7 linked regions of the Tribolium castaneum genome follow. The protein of the gene in region 6 purifies or fractionates together with the protein of the main gene of each other region. This does not show direct contact. Links are inferred from orthologs where the notes say so. Each region holds a gene or a part of one and is shown on either strand. Other genes may lie near its edges.

Region 1 (4,153 bases), about 28 Mb from region 6:
GAGGAGAAGCCCTTTCATCGCACTTTAAAGACTGAAGCTGAATATTCTAAAACTACCGATGTGAAGCCTTTACAAAAGAAAACTGAGGTTGATTTATTGAAACTAGCACGGGAAAAACGAAAATTGAGCAGCCCTTCCAAAACTCCGGAAACGGAAACGCATTCGCCTAAAACTAAACCCAAAGTTGAGTCTGACGACGAAAAAATGGATGTTGATTTGCCAGAAAACATCGCAAATTACCCAAAAGAGCCAGTTACCAACCCATCATCTAGTCAGCTTGAGGACGATTTTGTTTTTGTATGTAGCATTTTATTTTTATTATTTTATTTTGTATTTGAAATTTTCAGTTGGGCGAGCGCAAGGCAATGTTATTTTCTCTCGAATCGGCGCGTTCTTTACCAGCTGAAGACCTACCAGACGATTTTTTTGAGCTCACAATTGATGATGCTAAGAAAATTCTGGGCGATATTAGAAGAAAGCGAAACGAAATGGACAACGCTAATCTCATGACCTCTGCAATGCGCAATTTAGAAGAATCAAAGAAGCAATTACGCCAACTGCGTAAATATAAACAGTCAGTAATACGCGTCCAGTTCCCAGACAGGTCCATCCTTCAAGGGAGCTTCAAGCCCAGCGAAACTGTTAAAGATATTAAAGATTTCGTCACTTCTTTCCTAGAAGATCCAAACAGTGATTTTCATCTTTGTAAGTATTGTTCTACTTCAGTCAAGTGACCTTTGACTCTAGTCAGAAACTACTTTGATCACATGTTTAAATATTGTTACAGATACAACGCCGCCTAAAAATGTTCTCTCGGACGAATCAAAACTAGTGGAAATTGGTTGCGTGCCGGGGGCTTTGTTGCATTTAGGAGCAAATGGTGATGGGAGTTCTGTGTGCTTGAAGGCGGAATTGAGGGATAAATTTACAACAAACTCAAAAGCAAGTTTAGCGGCGTCACAGTTGCGGCAAAAGGGAACAAGACCCGAATCTCCGAGTGAAGAAATGGGCCAGGATGAGTCTATGGATACACTGACTGAAGCAAATGCTGCTGGGCCAAGTACACAACCAACCAGTTACGAGAGGAAAGTAATAAAATCAACGGAAAAAGTCCCTAAGTGGTTTAGACCATCAAAGTGATTTATTAGTGTTAAGTTTATATGAGTTGGTACTTATATTAAATAAAAGCACTTCAGCATCTAATTTTGTTTTATTTTGGTGAGAGGAGCGGGTGTTTTTGAATAGTTTGGGGAGTTTTGTTTTATTGGCACCAATGGTGTGTCAAATGTCATTCAAATTTTTTAATTGATTACTTTTAAAACAACAATGGCAAGTAAAGTTAACGTTCTTGAGTCCGTTCGTGAAGATGATTTTGTTGAATATCATCTTTTTCCACCTATTGATTCCCAGGACGACAAAGAACAAGAACTTGCGTTAACCAGAGTTTTAAATCAGTGTGAAAAAATCGTAAAAAGGTACACCGATGAGTATTTATGGCATAAAGACGAATTTAAATTAACTGTGAGAACGTGGATTAGTAATTCACTGATTCATGATAGTGAAAAAACAGGTAATGGTCGTATTTTATGACTTCACATTAAAAAAGTGCTTTTACATTTTTTGAGGTTATAAACCAGCAAATGCTTTGTTTAAAGTAAATCTGTATAAATCACAATGTAACAATTTTTTGAATCACCTAATTCGAGATCAATTGTTTTGCAGAGTATTTACCACCACATTTATATGGCGTAACTCATTTTGGAGACAATATAGAGGACGAGTGGTTTATTGTGTTCCTTTTACGTCTCCTAACTAAGGAAATTGATGGTTTAATAGCTCGTGTGCACGACGCTGATGGCGAATTTATTTTAATTGAAGCAGCTGATTACTTACCTTTATGGGCAGACCCTAACAACTGCGAAAATAGGGTAAGGTTTCTCATTATCTGTGCTTGTCTTTTTTCTAATTCAAATTAGAATAAAGTGATAATTGATTTTTTTGTTGGAAATTTTAATTAAAAAACGTTGCTATGGTAAGAGTGTTTTAAAATAGTGTTTATAATCTAGCATTCAGATGTGAAAAAGAAGGCTTAAAATGTTACCATCAAAAAAATAATTTAACGAATGCAACACAAGTCAATGAACGAAGCTGTACCAACATGTGAAAAAATTGCAACAAAATTGCAGCTCTATAAGATAGTACTTCTACATTAAAATTCACTTAAGTAATAATTTATTAGTTAAGCATTTATAATTATTTATACATTTCTGTAATAACTGAAGCAAAACTGACTTGGATCTGGTTTTTCTCCAGGTATACATTTACCAAGGCAACATTCATATCATCCCTCTAGACACCTCGGATCACCTCCCAGAAATGGCCCAAATGGCGGTCAATGAGGCCGTCTCAACAATCCAAAACAATCCGATCGACACTTTAGCCTCATCAGACATCCAAAACTGTATAATCAACAAATTAAAAGACTACCCTGACAAAATCCAGTCCAGTCTTCACCATGCCACTGCCTACCTACCAGTAGGTGTCGCTGCAATTTTGCGCCACAAACCCGGGCTTATAGCCCCCGCCGTCCAAGTCTTTTGTAATCGAGACCCAGTTGACGCCAAAACCTGCAAAGCCATGAAATATTTTCCGCCCGAAAACCGCGTAAATGCCAGAGTGACATTTACTAAATGTTTATACGCAATGCTAACTCACAGTAAATACGTTCCGGATCGCAGAACCGGCTGGAACTTGCCTAAAAGCGACAGCCCACAGTTTAAAGCGCAGAATTTAGGCGTTAAAATCGCCTGTGGGTTTGAGATTTTAGCCGCGCAAGCCAAACCAAGCCAGGACATTGAACAGGATAAAGGGTGGGTTAATTATTTTGAGAAACTGAAAGAGAAAAATTATTTTCGGGGGTTGTTGGAGCATTCAAGAGAATACAACGATTTATTAAACAAAGCGAAAGAGTACTACATCAATCACCGAGACTCTATGCACTATTCTCCAGCCATTGGGCAAGAAATTGTCCAGTTGATCAAAAATTTGGATTTTAAGATCGATGAATTGAAGGAGGAAAGTAATTTGCCTGACGATGACGATTCGTGGCTTAACGTCAGCCCGGAAGAGTTGGATAAAATGTTAGAAGAAAAATACGGGCAAAAGAAATTCGTTACAGTGAACAACAACTCAGACGCCGCCTCTTTCACTGAAAAAATCTCCTCGTTCTTAAACCACGTGTCAGATATTGACGGAGTTGAGCACCCAGACCTGGACAATTCCCCAACTCGGCCCCCTAGAGGCGTGAAAAAACGCACCAAAGTTTCGTTCGCAAGTGGCACAAAAACCGAGACAACAGCTAATAATAGAGTTAGTTTTGATCCGAATGCGTTTTCTTGCGCCGTTCAGAACATCCTGAATTTTGTCATTCCGGAAGATGACAGTTGGGATTTGGATTCTGGGTCTGATATGAGCGATTACGCCGACGATGTTGCCGGGAATGAGGAGATGTACGAAGGGGTTAAAAATAAAATGCAGGAGTATATGGAACAGATGGATAAGGAACTGGCGGCGACCACAATCGGGGAAAGTTTCGAGAAGAAGAACGGGGACGGGTTTGAGGATATTGAGAGTTTTAAACCTGTTGATATTGACGTGAATGCGTTGAAGAATATTCTGGAGAGTTATAAGTCGCAGTTGGGGGAGGCGGGACCGTCGAGTAATATGTTAGGGCCGATGGGGGTGCACTTGGATGTCAGTAATAACGATGATTGAGATGATTATTTAAGCGCGATTTATTGATTTACTGTTAATTTTTGTAGCGCGTGCCAATAAGGAGGTTTACTGCCATTGTCTTTTCACTATTGATGTATACAGTGTACGAGATTCACACGTTAAGCTGTACAGAACACGAACGATTTGATTACATGCTTAATATTACCTCAGAAATATGAAAAATATTTTGTGTTAACGTTACGTTGTTTTTGCAACTATGACACATTTCTTTTTTTCGTTCTGTACAGCCGCATATGTATTTTAGATTTAGCTGCTTGTTATGAAAATTAAAAGAATATATTTAATACTTTAGGATATTATGCTTCGTTAAATTAATATTTTTATGTCGATTGATGCTAGTCTTCATAAACACTTTGTA
Region 2 (4,281 bases), on a different chromosome or scaffold from region 6:
TTTTAAATTCAGTAACTATTAATAAAATCAAACACTCAAACAATTTATTGCCACGTAATAATTTTGTCTTTAATTTCAATGAATGAAAGTGGCTTGCTCAAAATTTAATGCAAAGAAACATTTTTTTTTTGGTTTCTTTTTTATTATTATTATTTTTTATGCTACAAACGGTAGCCAACGTGGAAGCGAAACACAGGTACGTCCATTTTATTGTTGTGTCGTATTTATTTATTTCACAAACCAATAATTCGTTAAAATTTAATTGCAAATAAAATGTTGTGTACACCGGCTCTAATACGGTGTTGAAAAGTCATAGTTTGAGTTTTAAATTCAGTAACTAAAAAGAAAACACTCAAACAATTTATCGTCGCGTTTTGATTTTGTCTTTAATTTCAATCGATGAAAGTCACTTGCTCTAAATTTAATGCAAACATTTTTTTTTGGTTTCATTTTTATTATTATTATTTTTTTAATGCTACAAACGGTAGCCAACGTGGAAGCGATATGAAGGTAGGTGTATTTATTTACTGAAGTTTTAAATTTAAATTGCCACATATTAAAACGTATTGTGTATTTTTTATTTTGTTTAATATTGACAAATGTTGCTTGTTGTAACTTTCATGCAAATAAAGATTTTTTATTGGTGTTGTTTTTATTTTTTAATGTCTTGCTACAAACAGTAGCCAACGCAGAAGCCATATGAAGGTAGGTGCATTTTTTTGCGTTTTATCTTGTGATGTGTTGAATTTAATAGCTTGTGTGCCATATATTATACCGTATTGTGCATCCTTTATTCTGTATAATATTTATTAGTGTCGCTTTTTGTAACTTTCCTACAAATTATTTTTTTTTGTTGGTTGTGTTTTTAATTTATTTTTTAGGTTTTGCTACAAATGGTAGCAGATGCAGTATAAAGGTAAGAACATTTATTTAACGCCAAGTGAAAAACTTTGATTTTTGTGTACTTTTTTTTTATTACACAAACCAGTAATGTCTTTATTCCCTTTTATTTTCCAATAATCATTGTTTACCTCATCCTTATTTCCTTTTTTCCTGGCAAGAATGCTCTAAACCTCCACGTGGTTCTTGCTGGACAAATTAGTTATTAATTTGACTGATTAGAGCAATCTTTAAATACGAATTTTTTTAACGCAGTTTGCAAAATTGAGACATTTTTTTACAGCCGAAGGCCCTATCGAAGGGCTTATTCCCCTACAAAAATAATGAACATTGCACGGTAAAAAGGGGGTGAAAAAAAACAATTTGCATTGCTTGAATATAAGAATAAAAATGTAGTCAAGTTTTAATTTGTAATAGAAACACATTAGAATGATCAGGGTATGTTTTTCTAATGATTTACGATTATTTTGATAATTTTCCTGGTGTGAACTTGGCTGTAGAAACGAGAATGTTGCTAGCTCCAGGCGCGCAACGATTGTCTGGTCGACTGTAATGTTCATGGTGCCATCATCATTTTTAGTGCATCTGCACAGATATCTCGGCCACAGTGTTTTTCACTTTGTGCGGTTGGCGACACATCAAGCTAAGTTAGCAAAAATGGCGTTGTTTTGTGCCCGTAAGTATGAATTTTTGTTGCGATTTTGAATAAAGTACGCTTTTTTAACGAATCAAAACTTAATTCGAGTGTCAGTAATGAGCTTCTGGCGCAGTTTGGGTAACGATTTGGCCCGGTTTCAGTTTCAAACGAGGTGCCGGAACACCCAGTCGTGTCCCCAACGTCGGGTGCGATTTTCGAAAAACGCATCATCGAAAAGTACATCCAGGAGCACGGCAAGGACCCCATCAGCGGTGACGAGCTCACCGTGGACAAGCTCATTGAAATTAAGAGTGAGTAGCCTAACCCAACTTGTTCGGTTCTAACCGCCACACAGCCCCGCCGATAGTCAAGCCGAAGCCGCCGAGCGCCACCAGCATCCCGGCCACGCTGAAGCTGCTGCAGGACGAGTGGGACGCCGTGATGCTGTACAGCTTCACGCAGAGGCAGCAGCTGCAGACGGCGCGCCAGGAGCTGAGCCACGCGCTCTACCAGCACGACGCCGCGTGTCGCGTGATCGCGCGCCTCAACAAGGAGGTGACCGCCGCCAGGGAGGCGCTGGCCACGCTGAAGCCCCAAGCGGGCATCATCACGGTGCCGCAGCCCGCGGTGGCGGCCGAGGCCGGCGGCATCGCCAACCAGCCGACAGAGCAATGCGGCCTGACTGATGAAGTGATTGAGAAGCTGCAGGACAAGGCCACGGTGTTGACGCAGGAGAGGAAGAAGAGGAGCAAGACGGTGCCTGAAGAGGTGTCCACGCCGGAGCAGTTGAGGGGATTCAAGACTTTGGCCTCACATCCGGTATATTTTCAATGTTTTTATTTATACCATCCAGTATTTCCCCGAACATCTCTTGCATTTTGCACAATTGTCGTTTTAAAAATTTCACTTGACAAATGCAAAGATTACTAAATGTGGTAGAAAATGACTTAGTTTTCTCTCTTACGAGTGTTTTAGCACATTTACCAATTGGAAAAACGTGTAAAGGTTGGTGTTATTTTGCTGGATTTACTCGATTTAGCTTGTTATTGGGCGAAATTTCATCAAAAATAAGCCAAAAGTCACAGGATGTGTTCAAAACACTGATATTTTTTAACTAAATGTTCGTTCAAATAAAAGAATTTCTTTCTAACCTAATTCTAATTGAATTGAGCCAAAAATGCGTTGTTTTTTTTAAGTAAATATCTAAATATTTCAATAAAGTGATCGAAAATGATGTCATTTCAGGTTGTTTATCTCGAACTTATTCTGAGAAATCAGGAAATTAATTTGGGAAATCTTCTATTTTCGTAATACATTTTGCAGTCAAAAAGCAAAATTTCGTTGAAATCTTGTTATTTTTGCCATTTTCCGGCAATTTAATTCGTATAACATTCGACAATGTAGTTATTTCGAATTTTTTTTTTAAGATAAGAGCGAAAATGTTACATTTTTTTGTTGTTTTCAAGTGTTTTAAATTTTTTTTGAAAACAATTTAAGCTTTTTTCTATAAACATTACAAAAACTTAATAAAAAAGCACTATTTTTACATCAAGATGGTTGTTATTTTAGACCATTCCCTTCGATTTTGTTTGTTTTTGAGCCAGGAATTTATTTATTTCCCAACAATAAAAATATAAACTTATTATTTTGTTTTTATTAACTTTGATTAACTTTCGCGAAATTCCCTTTAAAAAAAAACGCAAGAAACCACAAAATTTGATCAAAATTTTTACGTTTTTTAAGCTTTAGAGCACGTTTTTGAATTTAATTTTCAGCTTTTTTGGCGAAATTTTGCAAAACCAACTGAGAAAAACATGCAGAAATAATTTTTCTGTTTTTTGAGGCTTTTCTAAAAAGGTAGATGAAAAAAACACCAAATTAATTCTAAGATTTTATTATTTTTCGAGTTCACGAGCATTTTAGTACGCTTTTAAGACAGAACTGTTTTCCAAATTTCGTAAAAAAAATAAAAAGCCGACTCTTTTATTTTACGAGATCTTGACAAAACACCTAAAAATCAAAAACTTATTATCAGCTTATTTTTGAATGAAATGTTCCCAAAAACAAGACAAGAAACCAATGAAATTGTTAAAATTCTTATTTTTTCTTTATTCATGCTTTCAAGCACATTTGAATTTTTGTTTTAATCGCCAAATTAAATATAGAAAACTACATTAATTTTTCATTTGCGATCATTTTAATACGTTTTACACTTAAAACCACAAATATTCCGCAAAATTTCGTTCAAAACCATTCGGAAACTAATTTATTTTGTAATATCTTGTCACATAAGTGAATCGACATTAATTATTATTTAATTATTTAGTATATTTGAGTTTGAGTGAAATTCGTCAAAACTCATTATAAATAAGTCGAAAATTGTGTTAGTTTTACTTTTTTCCGGGCTGTAAGCACAAACTTTTGCTAGAATTGGCTAAAATCATCAAATTAATTAACACAATAACAAGTGTTCATTTAAAAAAAACTCTAGAGTGCTTTGAAAATAAAAAAATAATTGTTTACTATGTCTGTGATTAATCCGTTCTTTCATAACCTTACTTTTTGACAACTAAAAGAAAACAGATTTTCATCATAAAATTTATTTATTATTTATAAAAACTGTTGGAAATGTCTTCCTTGTTGTTCAACACACATAACACATCGCCTTTGAACACTATTTAACAATCTTTGGCTATGAATTGTGATGACCTGGTTGATAGGCAACCAACAATACAATGATAAAA
Region 3 (2,612 bases), on a different chromosome or scaffold from region 6:
GGATTTGACGAAAGTCTAGATGCCAGTAATTATTTGTTTACTTTTGTTACAATTATTAAAAAATGATTTAGAAAAATTGCGTCGACAAGACATTGCCCAACATGTTCGAGCAGCGGCCGGAGTGGCAGCAGAGCAATTACCAGACTATTTAAACGAATGTTCCATTGTGTATTTACCAGAAATGGGACATTTGGTTGCGATAAACGAATGGAAACCGAATTGCGATCCCGAGGAATTGAAAGATTTAGGATTTCAATTCATGGTAAGAAAATTCCTAAGGCGATTTATCACTTATTGGGTATTTTGTAGTTCACGTTGCGTGGAACAATCCATTACAAGAATCCACTATGTTTAGGTATAAAAAATTTAAATTTATTGTTTTTCTATCATTTTAATTTAGAATTGGACGAAAACCTTGGCGACATTAATGCCGAAATAATCGCCCACGAAAATCGCATTTTGCAACGCCTTTCCTCCTTCATTCTCAAATACAACAAGGATATTAGAGAGCCTCTTAGAGTCTTATCGCTGTTTGATGCGTACGATTTTATTGATTTTTTCTCCCAATTATACACAATTTTTAGTTTGATAGCAATAGCGAAAGTCTCGGCACAAAATAATTACGTCCGACCTGCTTTAAACAACCAAAATATGCACGAAATCCGCGAGTGTCGTCACCCTCTCCTCGAGCTGGTCTCAAATTTCGAGCCCAATGACTTTTGCTCGGGGAATCACCACAGTCACATTAAAATAATCACGGGGCCTAACGGCAGTGGCAAAAGTGTGTATTTGAAGGAAGTAGCCCTCGTTATTTACTTTGCCCACATTGGCTCCTACGTGCCTGCCAGGAGCGCCAACATCGGGATTTTGCATTGCATACATTCCAGAATGCAAGCGACGGAATCGGCAGCCGTGCGCCTATCTGCATTTATGATTGACGCAATCCAGGTCTGTATAAAATTTTGCGAAAAAATTAATCGTAAATTAGGCCACGCAAGCGATTCATAACGCGCGCCACAACTCTCTGATCTTATTGGACGAGTTTGGCCGGGGAACCACCGTGGAGGATGGACTTGCTTTACTGGTCGGCTTTCTGGCCGACTTTCACAAACAAGGCAATAACTGCCCTCACATACTTGTCTCGACGCACCACCAAAGCATTTCTGATTTTTTACCGGAAGATGGTGTTGTTGAATATTTGAAAATGGCACATTCGGAGGAAAATGGGACACTTTTGTTCCTTTATAAAGTGGCGAAAGGTGTTTCGAGGAGTTTTGCGATAAAAATTGCGGCCGAAGTTGGCGTGGATGCGAGTATTATCAAACGGGCAAACGAATTGTTTGAAAAAAAGAAAACAGTCACGCCATTAGTCCGTTGTGAGAGTTATCCGGCTTCCGTTAATGATAGTGCGTTGATTGCGTTTTTAAAAGATGTTAATATTCCGGAACCAGATGAGGCATAATTGTGTTTGAATATCCCGCTTTAGTTTTGTTAATTGTTGGGTTGGTACGTGTTACGTTGGCGATCGTGTTGTTCAGTCAATAAAAACGTTTGTGTGAGTTTGTTTTTGTATTTAATTCATTGAAGCAAATTAAAAAAACGCCACAATGGCTTTGGCTATGCAAAGAAAGGCAAACGTAAGTCGTTAAATACCAAAAATTTGACCCAAAAAATGTTTTTTTTTATAGGTTAGGTTGCCCCCAGAAATCAACCGAATTCTCTACATCCGCAATCTCCCCTATAAAATAACAGCCGAAGAAATGTACGATATTTTCGGTAAATATGGGGCTATCAGGCAAATCCGCGTCGGTAATACCCCGGAAACTAGAGGCACAGCTTTTGTGGTTTATGAGGACATTTTTGACGCAAAAAACGCTTGTGACCATTTGTCCGGCTTTAATGTTTGTAATCGGTATTTAGTGGTTTTGTATTATCAGGCGAGTAAAGCGTTCAAGAAGACCGATATTGAGAAGAAACAGGAAGAGATTGATAAGATGAAATCAAAATACGGAATTAATACGTAAACATATTGTATTGTACATAATTTTAAGCTTTTTAAATAAATAATTACAATGAGAATGATTTTTATATCTAACGCAATTAAATCTCCCTTTAAATTCCCTTTCAATTCAGGGTGAGTCTGCTAAGAGTTTTTTTTTATGGGTACAAATTAAATGCACAGTATTTTATTTAAACGACAAGTATTTTTGATCAGTAAAAATAATAAACGCACAGTAAAAATAATAAACGCACAGTTAAAATAATAAATGCACAGTAATAATAGTAAATGCTCAGTAAAAATAGTAAATGCTCAGTAAAAATAATAAATGCACAGTAGATAATAGCATCTCAAAAATCGTTCGCGGGATATGTTTCGTTTTAGTTCGATGGGGCGAAGCCCCAGCCTGCAGGCTATCTATTGAGCGTTTATTATTTAAACCGTGTAAACTGAAACTAGATACTGTGCATATACGATTTTTTTACTGGGTAAATTTTAATAAAATACTGTGCGTGGTTTTGTCATTTAAATTTTTTACTGAGTAAAAATGGATTAAATACTGATCATTTATTATTTCTACTGTGCAAAAATTAATTAAATACTGATCATTTAT
Region 4 (4,261 bases), on a different chromosome or scaffold from region 6:
ATAAAATTGGAAAATAAAAAAAAATCGTTGCAAACTCTTAGGAAAGAGAAAAGGCGAAATAAAAGATAAATGTGAACCAAAAAATTAAGTTAACAAAATTCAAAAGTGAGGTCAAATTATTACAAAAGAAAGAACAAAATAAAAAAATTATAAAATTTTCTTATTCCCTCTGTTTGTGGAGATTGAAAATAACTGAAAAATTGAATTTTTTTTACACTTTTATTGTTTATTCATAAAGTTGAAGTCGCTTTAACTCTTAAAGTTCATAACGTTACTTTAACATTATGAATAAACGGTAATTTTTTCGATTTTTTAATTATTCCCAATTTCCACGAATAAATCAACAAAGACAGACTAAAAAAATAAAATAAACATTGAAAAACGAAAATAATTTGGAAAATAAATTTGATAAAATAAATCAAAAATAAGTGAAATTAGGAAACGCCTACAAGAAACAAGAAATAAAATATAAAAAAATCCAAGAATTTAATACATAAATCGATACGAAATAACGAAAACCAAAATACGAAAAAATAATATGTAGACACAAAAACCTAATTAACAAATAACAAAAAAATGTATAGAAAATAAAGAGAAAATGTGTTAAATAAAAGTGGAAAATAAAACATAAATGTGAACCAAAAAAATAAGTTAAAAAAGCAAATGCCCATTTTTTTCAAGCTTTTAATTTTTTTTTCTCCATGAATAAATTAAAAAAGACAAAATAAAATTAAAAAATTAAAAAAAAACTGGTAAAACAAAACATAATATAGCGATCCCAAAAGTGACGGACCACTAATAAAAAACTTTCAGTTAAACTGTTAAACATAAAAATAAATTTAGTTTTTTCTTTAATTTTATATATTTTTTTTCAAAGTAAATAACCATCTTTTCTAATCTTGTCGGGTGTAATTTATTGTCAAACCTGCTAGTTTATTAAACGTTTTCATATTTATATTTGAAAATGAACTATAAAATTAAATTACCAACATATATTATAAAAAAACAAAATTAGTATAACAAAAAATTAAAATCGTCGCAAAACCAAAAAAATAAAATTACTTAAAAAATATGGTTCAAGTCCAAAGAATTACGGGAGAGTGAAAAACATCAATAATAAAATAAACGAAAAAAGAAATAACACAAAAAAGAAAAAAAACCTCTTGTAACAAATTAAAAAAATAAAAAAAATCAAGAGAAAGCAAAAAAAATGAAAAGAAAGCAAAAAAAAACAGAATAAGAAGCACACAAAAGTAAAAAAAATCCGTTGTAGAAAATCAACGAAATAGAAAAAGTAGATTCTTTCCATTTCGAAAATATTTTTTTATTAAAATAACCCTCAATATTGAATATTGAATATTGAAAAATTAGAGAATTCATCACTAAATTTTGCAAAATAAATTCCGAGACACACTGTTTTGTTTTTTTTCTTGTAAATCTTTGTTCCCGAAAAAAAAACACGGGGAAAAATTTTTTAAGCTTAACAAACGACTAAATTAGAAAAAAAAATATTTTTTAACAGATTTCTAAATCAATAAAAACTATAAATTCAAAGTTTCAGAAGTTAGTATATAGGCAACCAACAATACACCGACTATAGTATTTCAATTTTTTTTGACATTTTTATACCGGGTGACTACTGAAAAGCCATTAGCACTTTATACATTCGCTGTTAAGGCTAAATGATTCTTGATATTAATCATTTATTGTTAAATAATTTTATTTTTTGTGGTTTTGTAATTTATATATTTTGTAGAAAAAAATTTTTCGTTAAATAAATAAATAAATAAATAAAACGGATCTTGTCGTCAGTTTTGTGATAAATCTGAACTCTTAATTCATAAAACAAGCGCAGTATTGCCAAATAATTCCCCCATACAATTCATCACAGTCACCCGGTATTCCAGCACTTACTTGATCCGCACCCCGATACTCTTCCTAATCGCCTGCGTCAGCGCCTCCGTCTTGCTCATCTCCAGCGAGTAAATCTCCGAGCCTGCCATGCTCGTAAAGGGGGTGTCCTGCCCCAGGGCGGCGGCCAGAGCCGTCGCAATGGCCGTTTTCCCCGTCCCCGGTTGCCCCGCCAAAAGCACGGCCCGACCAGCAATCCGCCCCTCCCTCACCATCTTCAAGACAATCCCGATAGCCCTCCTGGCAGACACCTGCCCCACCATCCCTTGCGAGACATGCCGGGCCTCGAGACTCTCATCCAGACCCAGCCCCCGGATGTGGGAGTGGGCCCCAATGCGCTCCACGCGCGTGGTTTCACGCACTTCGGCGATTTTTGCAGCGGCGGCGCTCTGCGAAAGTGGGGTTAGGGTCAGCAAACGCCGCAAAAACGACACAAATGCGATAATGTTATCAGCAAAAGGGTGTTTTTAACGAGATAAGGGAGAATGGGGTACTTACAGCCATTGGGGTTGTGGTTTTTGCGGCTTTTTTGCGTTTTTATGCACAATTTTAAAGGAAATGCAAAAACAATGGAGGGACGCGGTACCAACGTAACTGCGAAAATCACCAGAAAAAGTGTACCCACTTCGTAATTTAATTAATTAAGCATAATTATTATATTAATTTTACTCGAAACACATAATTAAATTAAATAATTCGTCGGGAAAAAAGTTTTATGTGACAAAAACGTCCCAAACTTGAAATTTTTGTAATACCAACTGTGTAACTTCTGTATTAAAAATTGTTTTTTGTGGGCTTTTTTCATTAATAAATGATTGTTTTGTTAATACTTACAGCCATAGCACTGCCACAATTAACCCAAACTTTGAATTAATTAATTGAAATAATTGATCAAACACTGGGCCCTTCAAACAAAGTGCTGCCAACGTGCCGAAAACCGGCGCCAATTTCCATTCAAACAGTTTAAAACAATGTTAAACCAATAATTACGGGCGTTTTTGCCTCATTTGTGCCACATTAGCACAAAATTTCCGCTCCCTAATTGCCTATTGTTGCAATTAGGAAAATTATGTACGAATTACAAGGTTTTCAACTTTTCGACACTACAAATACTTTTCACTAACTCATTTTTAATAATAGTTTTCGACTTGATTCCGTAGAATAATGAGTGCGATTTTACTTGTGGTGCTTGTTTTTGGCTCAACTTTTGCCAAAACTTTGCGTAAGTCGTTTAATTGAATTAACCATTGATTTTAATTAATTAATTAATTAATTAAGCGCCCGAAATTATCAAATGTCGCAAATCGGATCCTAATTTAAACCAGTGTTTGGATAAATATGTTATGGAAGATGTGCGTAAGTTGGCCATGGGGAACAGGGATTTGGGGATTAGTCAGTTGGAGCCACTGCTTATACCGGAGGTGACCTTGGGCCAAGCGTCCAAGGACACGCTCCAGCAAGTTTACAAAAATGTGAAAATTCACGGCATCACCTCGGCTACGATCAAAAATTCGAAGTAACAATAAAATTAACAAAAAAAAAAAAAAAATTGAAAAAAAATTTTAGGGTTAATTTTACGCAAGGGAGTTGTTATTGGAGCTACGATAGCTTGACTCCCGTCGTGCGTATGGAAGCCGATTACAAAATCAACGGAAAGTTGCTCATTTTCACACTAAACGGTGAAGGGAAGTGTAATAACACGTTCTGTGAGTGAAGCACTCGGCTTCGCCTCGTGCCTAATTCTTTTTTTAGGGGATGTTGAAGGCGCCAATCACTTCAAATGTGAAAGGTACACCAAAAAAGGCAAGACTCACTTGAGAATGACCGAGCACGTGTTTAAATTCAACCCGAAAAAAGTGATTTTTTCCTATGATAACATAATCAACGGTAACGAACAGCTGAGCCAACAAATCATGAAAACAATCAACGAAAATTCCCTAACTGTTTATGCCGACTTTGGCGCCGCCATTGAGCAAGTGATGGCAACAGTGTGGTCGCAGAATATTAACGAAGTGTTTGCGAGGGTTCCCGAAGAAGAATTATTTTTACCATAGTCAATAGAAATATTTTATTTAAACTAGTGATATGACAGTCAACTTATTTTTTGTTCAATACAAATCAATAATTACGAAGCGTTTTTTTTCACTTAATAAGCCCCAAACCTCGGCAACTAATTGTAAATAGTGGGGGGTGGGGTGGGGATTAACTCCTCTCAAGGCTAGTCTCGGCTGAATTTTCTTTACTCTCCAATTGTTGCTTCCACATGGAGGCGTACACGCCTTCCTGGCCAATCAAGTGCTCGTGTCTGAAAAAATGGGTGGCAACACTGAAATTTACGAATGGCTGGCAA
Region 5 (4,346 bases), on a different chromosome or scaffold from region 6:
AAGCGTTTTGATACGTTTCAGTTATGCTGTTTCCAGTAAAAATATTTTATTTTGTTTTGCAAAATAGATGGTATTGAGTATATCATCACTGTATTAACTTTATAAGAAGCATTAATAAAATGTGCATTAGTATATAGTAGCAGCTTTTATTTTCACCAATTTTTGCACCAACAATCACACACGCTGCCCAAAACACTGAACACAAGCCGAAATGCCTTAGGTAAGTTTTGAATTTTTTATTTTTTACAGTCTAGCCTTCTCAAACGAAATTGAATATTTTATTACTCCTGAAAATGTCACTGCTTTTAAACATAAGCCTGAAGATAAATTCGTATTTTTAGAAAATTGTATCCAAATCAGCTCGTGAGAGATATTTTGATCCAAGTGAAGAAAAAGCAAGAATTTTGGAAACTGTGAAAGAAGAGGTTGCTCGAAAGAATCGTCCTACTTCAGCATTTTGCAGGAGTGGGTCACTGAAAGTTAAGAAAAGTGCAACACCTCGACCACCGTGGAGATTTTAAATCGCTTAACGATTTTTTTTATTTTTTTAAATTTCTTTATTAAATGTGCTGCTTTATTTAATTCAATATCCGATCTAAAAATTCATTAGGCAACGCATTTTTGTACTATAATTGAATTGTATTGTCCAACAATCATGCAGAATTTTACATAATCTAATATTTGTTGTCAGTTTTTAAGTAAATGGTTGTTGGACTATAATATTGTACCAGTATTAGTTGTAGAAAATTATTTAGGAAAATTAGGAAAATTACAAAAATTAGTTCATTAACTGCAGTAGTCAGGAAATATAGTGAGCGGCAAAAGCGGAAAACAGAACGTCAAATAAAAAAAAGACGTTAAAAAAAACTGAATTTTTGAGAATTCTTTTGCTGGTCATAAATCTTGTACTGATCATAGTATCAATATTAAGAAAAAGAAATAACCAAATACTATGTAAAATTATATCATTAGAACAAAATTTTCACTTTTATACAATGATATTATTAATCCACAGTTTTCACAATACCACGTACAAAAAAAAAAAAATAGTTGTGTATATATTAAATACATTTAGATATTCTGTTTAAGCAAGTATGTAATGGTAAAATTATTATTGCTTATGTACTTATATTTTTTAGAAACATATGTGGATTACCATAATTATTTGTTTAGTGATTATTTTTTTAGTTTAATATTTCAACTAATATTAAAAAGTTGATTGTCCCATATTGTTTATGGAAATAGAATTGTCTTAGTTAACGTTAAATAAAAATTATCTTGCACATATTTTCTCTGATACTGACCAAACTCCCACCAAAAACAACCCCTATTTGTGGGAATTGGGATTAGAAAAAACAAAAGTTGGTCTGCAGTAAATAATTTTCGAGAAAAACTCGTTTAAATAAACCGTTAAATAAGTAGGGCTAGTGGTGAGGTGACCGCCCTAACAATATATTAGGCAAAAATAAAAAATAAAACTGAAGTTGTTTCAAAAAATTTTTGATTTGGCGACATCTAGCGATTTTGTGTTGTAGTGGAGACATTAATGTCAAAAACGTAAGTTGGAGTTGTCAAAAAAATAGGATCATTTTATTTGCAATTTAGCACTTTTTTGTCATTTGAAACGTGATTATTAGCACAAGAATAATAACGTAAAGCCTCTGAAGCCACAACTCCTAAAATATGTCTATAGAAATCGAATCTGCGGAGTAAGTACGACATAACCAAACAAACAGTGTTATGTTTTTATTTACTTGCAGCGTAATCCGCCTAATTCAGCAATATTTAAAAGAATCTAACTTATTAAGAACTCTTCACACACTACAGGAGGAAACTGGTGTAACATTAAACACTGTAGATAGTGTTGATGGGTTTTGTGCCGACATAAACAACGGGCATTGGGACACTGTTTTGAAAGCGATACAGTCCCTTAAACTCCCTGATAAAAAATTAATCGACTTGTACGAACAGGTAGACGCCAAATTATTCAACTAGTTCGCGAAACTACAAATTTCTTAGATTGTTTTAGAATTAATTGAACTCAGAGAGTTAGGAGCAGCCAGATCCCTACTCAGACAAACAGACCCCATGATAATGATGAAGCAAAACGAGCCCGAGCGTTACATTCACCTAGGTACTCAACAAAAGTAAACACTTCAAAAATAACTTTTTTTACAGAAAATTTACTCGCTCGTTCATACTTTGACCCCCGTGAAGCTTATCCAGACGGAGGCAGCAAAGAAAAACGCCGTGCTGCTATTGCTCACGCCCTTTCAGGGGAAGTATCAGTTGTACCATCGTCACGTCTTTTGGCCTTACTTGGCCAGGCGCTAAAATGGCAACAGCACCAAGGCTTGTTGCCTCCTGGTACCACAATTGACTTGTTTAGGGGCAAAGCTGCCATCAGAGACCAGGAAGACGAACAATTCCCAACTCAAATGGCCAAACAAATCAAGTTTGGGCAAAAGTCGCACGTGGAGTGCGCTCGCTTTTCACCAGATGGACAATATCTGGTCACAGGGAGCATTGATGGGATTATTGAGGTGTGGAATTTCACCACCGGGAAAATTCGCAAGGACTTGAAATATCAAGCCCAGGTAACAGTTAATTCTAATCTTTAAAAACTATTTTCAAAATTCTTTTATAATTTTGTTTATATTTTTTGTAGATTATTCTTAAATATTGTTTCTATATACTTCTGTACATTTTTTTAAGATTTTCGTGATTCTTTCCTAAGCCATAAAGACTGAAATCTAACTTTATAAATTCTTCTTTAGATAAAAATATTCTTCTCAAATAGAAAAAATTAATTAACATCAAAATATAATTTTTTTTTCGATTACATTTCGTTTAGGAGAGCTTTATGATGATGGAACATGCAGTATTATGTATGGCGTTTTCGCGAGACAGCGAAATGTTGGTAACTGGGTCACAGACCGGAAGAATCAAAGTTTGGAGGATTAGCACGGGCCAGTGTTTGCGAAAAATCGAAAAAGCTCACTCGAAAGGTATCACCTGTTTACAGTTTTCTAGAGACAACAGTCAGGTTCTAAGCGCTTCGTTTGATCACACTATTAGGTAATAATTTAAAATCTAGTGGCGCCAATTTTACGGTAATTATAGATTACATGGCCTAAAATCTGGGAAAATATTGAAGGAGTTTCGTGGGCACACTTCGTTCGTAAATGAAGTTATTTTCACTCAGGATGGTCATAACGTTTTGAGGTATTTTTTAAACTTGTGTCTTCTTTTAAAACATTTTTATTTAGTGCTTCTTCTGACGGAACCGTTAAAGTGTGGAGCATCCGAGCTGCGGAATGCATCAATACTTTCAAATCTTTAGGCGCGGGCGATATCACGGTGAATAATATTCACAACTTTGCAAAAAATCCCGAACATTTTGTTGTCTGTAATCGCACGAATACTGTAGTTATTATGAATCTTCAAGGACAGGTAAATTGTGATGTTACCAAAAACATAAAAAATTCATTTATTGATAGATTGTGAGGTCATTCGCAAGTGGTAAACGTGAAGGTGGTGATTTTGTATGTTCAACAGTGTCACCAAGAGGTGACTGGATTTATTGCGTCGGGGAAGATCTAGTCTTGTATTGCTTTTCCACAAATTCTGGTAAACTCGAGAGAACTTTAAATGTAGGTTTTTCACCAATGGTTTAATACAATTGTGGTTTACTAATTTTTGTTCCAGATTCATGAAAAAGACGTTATTGGTATAGCACACCATCCACATCAGAATTTACTCTGTACATATAGCGAGGACGGACTCGTGCGTTTGTGGAAACCGTAATTATTGTAATTTTGTAACGTTTGTAATCCTAAGAAATAAAGCGTAAATTCAATTCAGTTTTTTATTTTCACACCCAACTGAAGTCACCACATGTGACGCCACCTCACGGCGTCTCTGTAAAAAAGTAAAACTTCTAAAAAAATCGATAAAATATAACAAAGCAATAAATTATTATTTAAAGGACAAAGAAATTTCGAAATCTGGGATAAACTTAAATAAAATCACTACAAAATATAAAATAAAAAGAAAAATACCGATCTGTCAGTGTCACTGTCACTTAATATAACCTCAGTTTTCAAGGGAACACATTTTTTCAAATATTTTAAAAATGAAATTGGATAAAATTTGTCGCACGTGTTTGCTCGAAAAGGCCAGTCTGAAGCCGTTATTCGGAGCTTGTGTGGCCAATATGTTAATGTCGTGTGCCTCAATTCAGGTATTTCATTCACTTTTTTACTTTATTTAAACATGTGTCCTGAAGGTAATTGAGGGCGACGGTCTCCCCTGCCAAATTTGCACGCAGTGCTTGCAAATGGTAA
Region 6 (3,587 bases):
CCACTTAGAAAATAAAAACTGAATTATGTCCCGTCCGTAATCATGGAATGGCTTATAAATAAATTAAATAGATAATTTTTCAAACCTGACATCATTTCTTTGTTAGTTTTTATTAAACTCTTCTTTTTTAAACGAACGTCTTACTAAACTATTGATTTTTTTTATTTAAGCTGAGGATAGTCTGTTTTCTTATTTTTCCAGGAGTTGTAGCTTAAATAGAAATGATTATCTGTGTCATTATCATTTTTGGCAATAATTTAAAGCCAATCTCTTCAGTCAATTGGGCAGTAATTTCTCGTAAAGTATTTACTCGATTTAAAATTAAAATAATGACAATAATTCAAGTTTTTTGAACAATTATTCCGACCTTTTTGGATTTTTTTTTCTCATTCAGTATTGGAATATATTGCTGTAGACGTGAACTTGTTCAAATCATTCTCAGTATTCTGAACAGTTTTTTCTTGGCAGAATTATTGTTTTATGACAGTTTTATGTGTTTACGCTTTGCTGCAGATCCACGACTTCGTTTTGTCGAAAACTCAATTATTTTTCTCAAATAAAAAATATTTTTTTTAATTTGAGATGTGTACATTTTACATAAGCAAGCAAAATTGTCTTTTTTTAGTCTTGGTAATTGCTTTATCCATTTTCAAATTGCATCAGTGGTTTTCCAATGTTATTAGTTGTAGTTGTTTTTGTTGTAAGAGTGATGAGACGCGCAGGGGTCCTGAAGTTGACCAAAATGTAGATCAACAACTGGTGCTTACATTGACGTAGGTCGATACAGCATTGGTTGGAAAATGCGCCTCTGACTATTTTTAATTATTTTATTACATTAGTTTCTCTGTTAGTTTTGCTAAGTCGCTGTATAGGTCAATGTTAATTACAGGTTCCTGGTTTACCAATCCCCATCGAAAACATGATCCTACGATATGTGAAAATGAAAGCCGATTGGTGGACAAACACAGCTCATTACAACAGAGAACGAATTCGCAGAGGCGCAACTGTTGATAAAACAGTGTGCAAAAAGAATTTGGGAAGACTGACACGGTTGTATTTGAAAGCAGAACAAGAGCGACAACACAATTACTTGAAGGATGGTCCTTACATCAGTCCTGAAGAAGCAGTAGCTATCTACACTACAACAGTGCATTGGCTTGAGTCACGAAGATTTGCTCCAATTCCTTTCCCACCTTTGTCTTACAAACACGATACTAAACTTCTGATCTTGGCTTTGGAACGTCTCAAAGAAGCATACAGTGTTAAATCGCGACTCAATCAAAGTCAACGAGAAGAATTGGGTTTGATTGAACAAGCTTATGATAATCCACACGAAGCTCTTTCGAGAATTAAGCGACATTTATTGACACAGCGAGCTTTTAAAGAAGTAGGGATCGAGTTTATGGACTTGTACAGTCATTTGATTCCGGTGTATGACGTTGAACCACTTGAGAAAATCACCGATGCGTATTTAGACCAATATTTGTGGTACGAAGCTGATAAAAGGAGATTGTTTCCACCGTGGATCAAACCTGCCGATACTGAACCTCCTCCTTTACTTGTCTACAAGTGGTGTCAAGGAATCAATAATCTACAAGACGTTTGGGACGTTTCGGAGGGCGAATGTAACGTTCTCCTAGAATCAAAGTTTGAGAAACTCTACGAAAAAATTGACTTGACTCTGTTGAATCGATTGTTACGTTTGATTGTCGACCATAATATTGCTGATTACATGACGGCTAAAAACAACGTTGTGATTAATTACAAAGACATGAATCATACGAACAGTTACGGGATAATTAGGGGTCTACAGTTTGCTTCGTTTATAACACAGTATTATGGTTTGGTTTTGGATTTGTTGGTGCTTGGGTTGCAGAGGGCTAGCGAAATGGCAGGGCCACCACAGATGCCGAATGATTTTCTCACATTCCAAGATGTTTCAACGGAAACTTGCCATCCGATAAGGCTCTATTGTCGATACGTTGACAAGATTCACATGTTCTTCAGGTAAAATTCATTGTTATTTATTTTGTTTTTGGGCAGTTTCATATGTTCTTTAGGAAGAATTAATAATTACACTAGTTTACAACGTTTTTTACCAATAGATGAAATCAATGTGTATCGGTAGAATAATTAATAATAATAATAATAATAATAAAAGCCTTTTTTAAAGAAAAAATGTGAGGAGGCGAGATCTAACTGATGCTATTCTACTTAAAACAAAACATAAATTTTTAAATATAAACCAAAAATAACCAAAATGCATAATATAATATTAATATAAAAAATAATATACAATTTTTAAGTAATACTAAAAAAAAGGAGATATGTGTCTCGGAATACTGTTGAATAAATGTAAAAGATAATAATAATAAAAATAATAATTCGAAATGAAAACAAATACAGCAAAAGAATAATTACTGAAATAATAAAAAATCTAACTTTGTTTGTTTCTTAAATAAGTTTACTGGCTTTGACTTTAAATGGTTTTGGAGATATTATTATAAATGATGACAGCGTTATAGCTGAAAGATCTAAGAAATGGTGCTTTTTCTTTTTTAATTTCAGATACACAAAAGTTACGATAATTAACCCTAACTTTGATACAGAAGTCGAAAAAAAATTAGGACAAGTTTTTTAAATATTCATTATAAAGTATAAGTATTTCAGACAATTTTTGCAACATTAAAAATGTTACAGACTGTTTTTTCTTTTGTATTATCAGGGTCAGTTTATCTCAATGCAGACTAGTAGTAAACGAATAACGTATTTTTATCTCAAAAACCTTAATACCTCTCTTCATAAGACTTTAAAAATTTGATAGAAATATTCATCTTGTTTATCCCATAGGTTTTTAATTTTTTTAGGATAATTTTACCACAAGAAAAAAAATTTCTACTTTAGTTTCACAATATGTTTTTCACAAAAAGAGGAAATAGTTTGAACAGGTTTTGATAAGTTAAACTAAACACAAACAACAAAAATAGAAAGTCGAAAAAATAGTATATTATAATACTATTGCATATTATTGTGGCACTCATTCTGTTGGAGCACTCCTTCGTCGTGCTCCCAAACCATTTATGCCAGTATAGAAAAATTTTTGTTTTTGGCTTTTATGATGAAACGCGCAGGGGTCCTGAAGCTGGTCAAGCTGTAGGCCAGCAACCAGTGCATACACTAACGTAGGTTAGTTGTGTATTGGTTGGAGATATGCGCTTCTGAACAGTTTTTTTGCTTATTTAACGAAACACAAGTAACTTTATTTTAGTAATGGAATATTTTTTTATTACAGATTTACAGCTGAGGAAGCTCGCGAATTGATTCAAAGATACTTGACTGAACATCCTGATCCAAATAATGAAAATATTGTTGGTTACAATAACAAGAAATGTTGGCCCAGGGATGCCAGAATGAGATTGATGAAACATGACGTTAACCTGTAAGTTAATAATGTTTCTTTTTTTTCGATTTTTAATTGGTTTGGTCGTTTGTGTCAGGGGTCGAGCTGTATTTTGGGACATCAAAAATCGTCTGCCCCGGTCTGTGACAACTATACAATGGGAGAACAGTTTTGTGAGCGTCTATTC
Region 7 (4,384 bases), about 2.8 Mb from region 6:
ATACAGCGTGTCTAAAATAATTATTCGCTACAACGAAAGAGGACATTTAAACAATAATCCAAAATCGGGACGACCACGAAAAACCACTATAAACATGGACAGACGCATTAAAAGAATTTCGGAAAACGATCCATGGAAATCTGCATCTAAAATTATAGCGGAAATACCGGAAGTAGGAGTTAGTACACGAACAATTCAAAGAAGACTGGTTGCAGCAAAGCTTTTTAGTAGACGTCCTGCTAAAAAACCTTTGATTTCCGAAAGAAATAGACGCGCCAGACTTCAATTTGCAAGAGAACATTTGAATTGGACAAAGCAAGATTGGAGGAAAGTTCTGTTTAGTGACGAAACTCGATACAAATTATTTAATTCGGATGGAATGAAACGTGTGAGACGGCCAATCAATACACGATTCAACCCCAAGTATGTTACACCCACTGTTAAACATGGTCATGGTAGCGTTTTTCTGTGGGGGTGTTTTTCGTGGAATTGTGTGGGTCCGTTGAGCTTTATTGGGGGTAATATGGATCGGTTCATCCATAAGGACATACTCCAAGATGTAATGCTGCCGTATGCAGAATGGGAAATGCCTCTTCGTTTTATCTTTCAGCAAGATAACGACCCCAAACACACTTCTGCATTGGTCAGTGAGTGGTTCCAAAATAATAATATTCATGTTTTGCAATGGCCTGCCCAATCACCAAACCTCAACCCAATTGAGAACTTATGGGAAGAGGTAGAGCGACGAATCCGGATACAAAAATTTCCCAACAAGCAATCTTTGATAGATAAAATCAAAGAAGTGTGGTCAAATCTGGATGAAAATGTTATTCAAAAATTAATTTCTTCAATGCCCAGACGGTGCCAAAAAATTATACTTAATAACGGCTATGTCATAAATTATTGAATTTTTCGTTCTATTTATTTAAACTTTAGTGTTGGGTAGTGTTATGTAAATGTTGAATCAAATAAAATTTGAGTTGAAAATATTTTCTGACAATGTTGCCTTACTTTTGTCGCATTAATATCGGGCTTTTTTATATTTCAAGCTAGTAGCATGTCATAATAATTACCCATTGGCTATCCATGTTCAACACGAATAAGAATATCTTTAAACGTTTATTATAAAATTAAATTGAAGGTAAATACCAACTCTTAAAATTTAAAATACCAATATTTGTATATTTTTCAACATGTTGCCTTACTTTTGTCCGATAGTGTATTTTAAACAAATACTTTTTTCGACAAAATAATTAAAAGTCAAAATAAATGAATGGTAATTCGGATTATGTATACTATTTTACTTAATTTGGGAGTTCGGTTAATAGAATCGTACGGATTATCCGAGCCGTCTAAATGCAGAACTGATTGCCAAAAATTTTAAAAATAGCTTTCCCGCACTGTCACATTTAAAATTTAAACAGCAATTTCTATTTGTTTTTACAAAATTCATTCTTTAATACAGTAAAACTATACAAAAGTTTCGAATTTGACACAAAACTCACTGGGGCTTGATAATGTATTCTTTAATTGTGGTAATCTATTTCGTTTTGTTTTTAATTAAGTAGGTATATCCCATTTCAGGTCGTAGAATTTTGCAAAAACGTATTTGCATTTTTTGGAGTAAAATGTAACGCAAATTGAGTTTCTGGTGGGTTTTCTTAGCACAAACTTTTTTTCTTTTACAGAAACTTACAATTTTGCACAAATCGCACTCCAAAAATGTCACTCAGATGCAGATGTAATTATAACTTTCTAAAATAGTTTTCCGCAAAACTAACTAATAAAGACCGCACGTTTTTTGTGCATTCATTAATTTTTACAGAACAAAAATACTTTAATAAAAAATTTGTACCTATTCAAAATGTAAGCGAGTTTTTGTTTCTCGACGGCGCCTATCATTACAGCACGTCCTCGAGGGTCAGTGGCTAGGTACTGGCCTGGAACAATACGTCTGACCCCCGATTTGCCGAACGTCTCCTGGTGGACCTTCTCGAAGTTGTTTTTAGACGGGATATACTCAAGAATAACGATTCTGCCGGAGTCGGAGCCCACGATGACGAAGTCTTTGGTGCCTCCGGTGAGTCGAAACGACATCAACGAGCGGACGACTCCGAATATTTCGACGGTTAGAAGCGTGTGGACTTTACCGGTGTTGGGGTCAGGCCGTAGCACTTCCAAGCTTTTGCCACGTGAAATGACAATTTCTTGCATTTTGGTGCCGGAAAAATTGCCATGGATGGCGTGGGTGATGGCTGTGGCCCTTTGTAAGGTCAGGTTGTAGAGATACATTTTGGGGGCTTATCTAGGAAGAAAAGTGAGGTTAGAACGTATCATTTTTTAGTTGAAAATGTGGGGCACTAAAACCAGGCTTTAGCTTGGTAATTCGCTTGAGCCAACGATGCGATGTGCCCCATAATATAGCACCCTTTACGACCTGTACGTATACAATACATAGGTACAGGAGATACCAAGTGCATCCGATTACAAATTTTTAAAGCAACTCGTTAATTTGGGCAAAAATACGTACTTGTGATTAATTATAAAACAAAATCAAAGCTAAATTTTGTTACCTTGAACGTGGATGAGCTTCGTTTCGTTCAATATTTCAAAGTTTTTCAACCATTTATTTTCGATTTTCGCATGGTTCACATTGTTGTGACGTGGTGACTTGGTTATTTATTTGAGCGTTTTTGTCGATGGTTAAGTTAATTAAAAAACAATAATAAAGCACCTTTTGCAATGTTTTGATACATTATTTAGCAAAAAAGTACAAAAACTAACTGCAAATGGCGACAGACCGGCAAAATAACGCACAAACACCGGTGAAGTGAGAAAGGAAACGGAAAGAAGAAATGTAGTGCTACTGCGCGTGCGTGTTGGCTATATTTTTTACTACGCAAGCGCAAAATTTCTAAACCAATCAGAAAATTGAGAGGAAATTTCAATTTAAATAAATTTTTCAGAAAATTATCTTTGGCCAAAATTATACTTTAACAATTTATGCGTTTGATATTGCCAGTATGTATCTTTTGTTTTTACCGTACTGTAGGTACTGTATTTAGAACTTGATTGTGTTTATCTCAATTTGAGGCAAATAAGAATCCAAATTCTAGTAAAAAGCTTATTGTTTTGTACCATATTTTCCGGACAATTTTCAGAGTTTTAGTTCAATGCAATTTACAGTAATAGTCTTATGCGTTTGTTTGATGAAATTTTAAGTTATTGTAAAGATATCATATCTTCCTTATTATAAAAGATACATATTTAAAACAAAAACATTATACAGGCACTTTTTTACAGAGAATTTAATAATGTTAGCAGCGATTTTTTTTACTCATTCGCTTAGCTGTAATGACATAAAGTTTTATTTTTTTAAATGAGAATTATAGTTGGCTATGACATTTTCGAAAAGCTTTTTTTTTCTGAACTCAAAACAATATAAATATAGTTTGATGTTTTTATACAGGGTGCTCAAAAACTGGCGCACCAACTCAGTGGTACGTTATTGAGAAGCAAGTGCAGATTACGGGAAAAATGTTGAAAAAATTCCTAAAGTTATATTTTAAAAAATCTGGAGCTACAAACTTATTGTGTTAATTTCTTTAGTTTTTATTATTTTTTTATATTTTTATTTTTCATACCAGGTAATCGTTCCGTAACAAAACGATTAACAATTATTTTAAAATTTACTATCAAATTTTAGCAGTTTTTTTAATATAAAAAAATTAAAATTTATCCAAAAAAATCACAATGTGTAGATGTGCCAACACTGGGAATTATTTCCTAGGAAACCGTTTCAAATATAATTTATTTTTATTGTTGCTCAAATTCTATTGCGATCATGACTATTAGACAACGTTGCCACATATCAATTACTTAAAATTAGTTATTTATCAATAATTTTAATACAAAGAATTTTTTTACTATTTTTACCATTATATGTAACCACTTCTCTATCACACACCATTGAGTTGGTGCGCCAGTTTTTGAGCACGCTGTATATTTATGATAAAAATATATTAAAACATTTGAAAGTAGTTGGCTATGAAAAAATTATTTCACATAAAAGGTGTGAATAATCTAGAAATTTTGTGAACGGTTATTAAAGTAAAAAATGTGAAATTATAAAAATAAGCTGTGTTGAAGTTATTTTGAATTGAACAAATATACGATGATCGCAGATTTTAATTACATAAAAAATGTGTAGGTGACGTTGATAATGTTGTATATTTTTTTACCGCAGATAAAATTTGATTTGGTGTTTGGATTGACATTTTTTTTGTAAAATAAAATTTTATTGATACGCAATCATACAATTATTTTTTTCTTTTTCCGACATTTCATGTTTAAAATTGTAAAATAGAATAACAACGTAAGCTTG

The links.
Region 1: the proteins of Prp8 (region 6) and ecd purify together in Homo sapiens (affinity purification with mass spectrometry; 7 studies listed by BioGRID and IntAct, counting the BioPlex papers as one, with this or other methods). This does not show direct contact. The link is inferred for Tribolium castaneum from reciprocal best matches to the Homo sapiens genes PRPF8 and ECD.
Region 2: the proteins of Prp8 (region 6) and Prp19 purify together in Homo sapiens (affinity purification with mass spectrometry; 5 studies listed by BioGRID and IntAct, with this or other methods). This does not show direct contact. The link is inferred for Tribolium castaneum from reciprocal best matches to the Homo sapiens genes PRPF8 and PRPF19.
Region 3: the proteins of Prp8 (region 6) and Sf3b6 fractionate together in Homo sapiens (co-fractionation; 3 studies listed by BioGRID, with this or other methods). This does not show direct contact. The link is inferred for Tribolium castaneum from reciprocal best matches to the Homo sapiens genes PRPF8 and SF3B6.
Region 4: the proteins of Prp8 (region 6) and rept purify together in Homo sapiens (affinity purification with mass spectrometry; 3 studies listed by BioGRID and IntAct, with this or other methods). This does not show direct contact. The link is inferred for Tribolium castaneum from reciprocal best matches to the Homo sapiens genes PRPF8 and RUVBL2.
Region 5: the proteins of Prp8 (region 6) and Smu1 purify together in Homo sapiens (affinity purification with mass spectrometry; 3 studies listed by BioGRID, with this or other methods). This does not show direct contact. The link is inferred for Tribolium castaneum from reciprocal best matches to the Homo sapiens genes PRPF8 and SMU1.
Region 7: the proteins of Prp8 (region 6) and Sf3b3 fractionate together in Homo sapiens (co-fractionation; 4 studies listed by BioGRID, with this or other methods). This does not show direct contact. The link is inferred for Tribolium castaneum from reciprocal best matches to the Homo sapiens genes PRPF8 and SF3B3.

Annotation. Positions count from the first base shown.
Region 1 is NC_087394.1:35,465,394-35,469,546, reverse strand, and holds the start of ecd (protein ecdysoneless), read left to right. Parts: upstream 1-1,284; 5' UTR 1,285-1,326; coding exon 1,327-1,570; intron 1,571-1,722; coding exon 1,723-1,928; intron 1,929-2,313; coding exon 2,314-3,774; 3' UTR 3,775-4,153. Other genes in the region: tether containing UBX domain for GLUT4, read left to right, coding at 1-297, 348-705, 788-1,140. UniProt on the Homo sapiens protein: Regulator of p53/TP53 stability and function. Inhibits MDM2-mediated degradation of p53/TP53 possibly by cooperating in part with TXNIP. May be involved transcriptional regulation. In vitro has intrinsic transactivation activity enhanced by EP300.
Region 2 is NC_087395.1:23,125,965-23,130,245, forward strand, and holds the start of Prp19 (pre-mRNA-processing factor 19), read left to right. Parts: upstream 1-1,444; 5' UTR 1,445-1,452; coding exon 1,453-1,576; intron 1,577-1,698; coding exon 1,699-1,848; intron 1,849-1,892; coding exon 1,893-2,356; intron 2,357-4,281. UniProt on the Homo sapiens protein: Ubiquitin-protein ligase which is a core component of several complexes mainly involved pre-mRNA splicing and DNA repair. Required for pre-mRNA splicing as component of the spliceosome.
Region 3 is NC_087395.1:21,527,707-21,530,318, forward strand, and holds Sf3b6 (splicing factor 3B subunit 6), read left to right. Parts: upstream 1-1,478; 5' UTR 1,479-1,607; coding exon 1,608-1,637; intron 1,638-1,688; coding exon 1,689-2,024; 3' UTR 2,025-2,079; downstream 2,080-2,612. Other genes in the region: mutS protein homolog 5, read left to right, coding at 1-25, 72-262, 310-355, 401-948, 989-1,462.
Region 4 is NC_087401.1:15,890,130-15,894,390, reverse strand, and holds the start of rept (ruvB-like 2), read right to left. Parts: upstream 2,824-4,261; 5' UTR 2,752-2,823; coding exon 2,746-2,751; intron 2,569-2,745; exon of another isoform or gene 2,416-2,568; coding exon of another isoform or gene 2,410-2,415; intron 2,301-2,409; coding exon 1,915-2,300; intron 1-1,914. Other genes in the region: uncharacterized protein LOC663271, read left to right, coding at 3,076-3,133, 3,190-3,427, 3,478-3,617, 3,664-3,965; Hmt-1 (ATP-binding cassette sub-family B member 6), read right to left, coding at 4,114-4,216. UniProt on the Homo sapiens protein: Possesses single-stranded DNA-stimulated ATPase and ATP-dependent DNA helicase (5' to 3') activity; hexamerization is thought to be critical for ATP hydrolysis and adjacent subunits in the ring-like structure contribute to the ATPase activity.
Region 5 is NC_087397.1:5,008,356-5,012,701, reverse strand, and holds Smu1 (WD40 repeat-containing protein SMU1), read left to right. Parts: upstream 1-1,530; 5' UTR 1,531-1,683; coding exon 1,684-1,709; intron 1,710-1,760; coding exon 1,761-1,971; intron 1,972-2,019; coding exon 2,020-2,134; intron 2,135-2,178; coding exon 2,179-2,597; intron 2,598-2,854; coding exon 2,855-3,078; intron 3,079-3,123; coding exon 3,124-3,225; intron 3,226-3,269; coding exon 3,270-3,453; intron 3,454-3,500; coding exon 3,501-3,653; intron 3,654-3,708; coding exon 3,709-3,807; 3' UTR 3,808-3,859; downstream 3,860-4,346. Other genes in the region: tau (microtubule-associated protein 2), read left to right, coding at 342-521; zinc finger protein OZF, read left to right, coding at 4,136-4,243, 4,289-4,346. UniProt on the Homo sapiens protein: Involved in pre-mRNA splicing as a component of the spliceosome. Regulates alternative splicing of the HSPG2 pre-mRNA. Required for normal accumulation of IK.
Region 6 is NC_087394.1:7,711,224-7,714,810, reverse strand, and holds part of Prp8 (pre-mRNA-processing-splicing factor 8), read left to right. Parts: intron 1-889; coding exon 890-2,007; intron 2,008-3,292; coding exon 3,293-3,439; intron 3,440-3,497; coding exon 3,498-3,587. UniProt on the Homo sapiens protein: Plays a role in pre-mRNA splicing as core component of precatalytic, catalytic and postcatalytic spliceosomal complexes, both of the predominant U2-type spliceosome and the minor U12-type spliceosome.
Region 7 is NC_087394.1:10,470,315-10,474,698, forward strand, and holds the start of Sf3b3 (splicing factor 3B subunit 3), read right to left. Parts: upstream 2,858-4,384; 5' UTR 2,574-2,857; intron 2,306-2,573; 5' UTR 2,293-2,305; coding exon 1,856-2,292; intron 1-1,855. UniProt on the Homo sapiens protein: Component of the 17S U2 SnRNP complex of the spliceosome, a large ribonucleoprotein complex that removes introns from transcribed pre-mRNAs.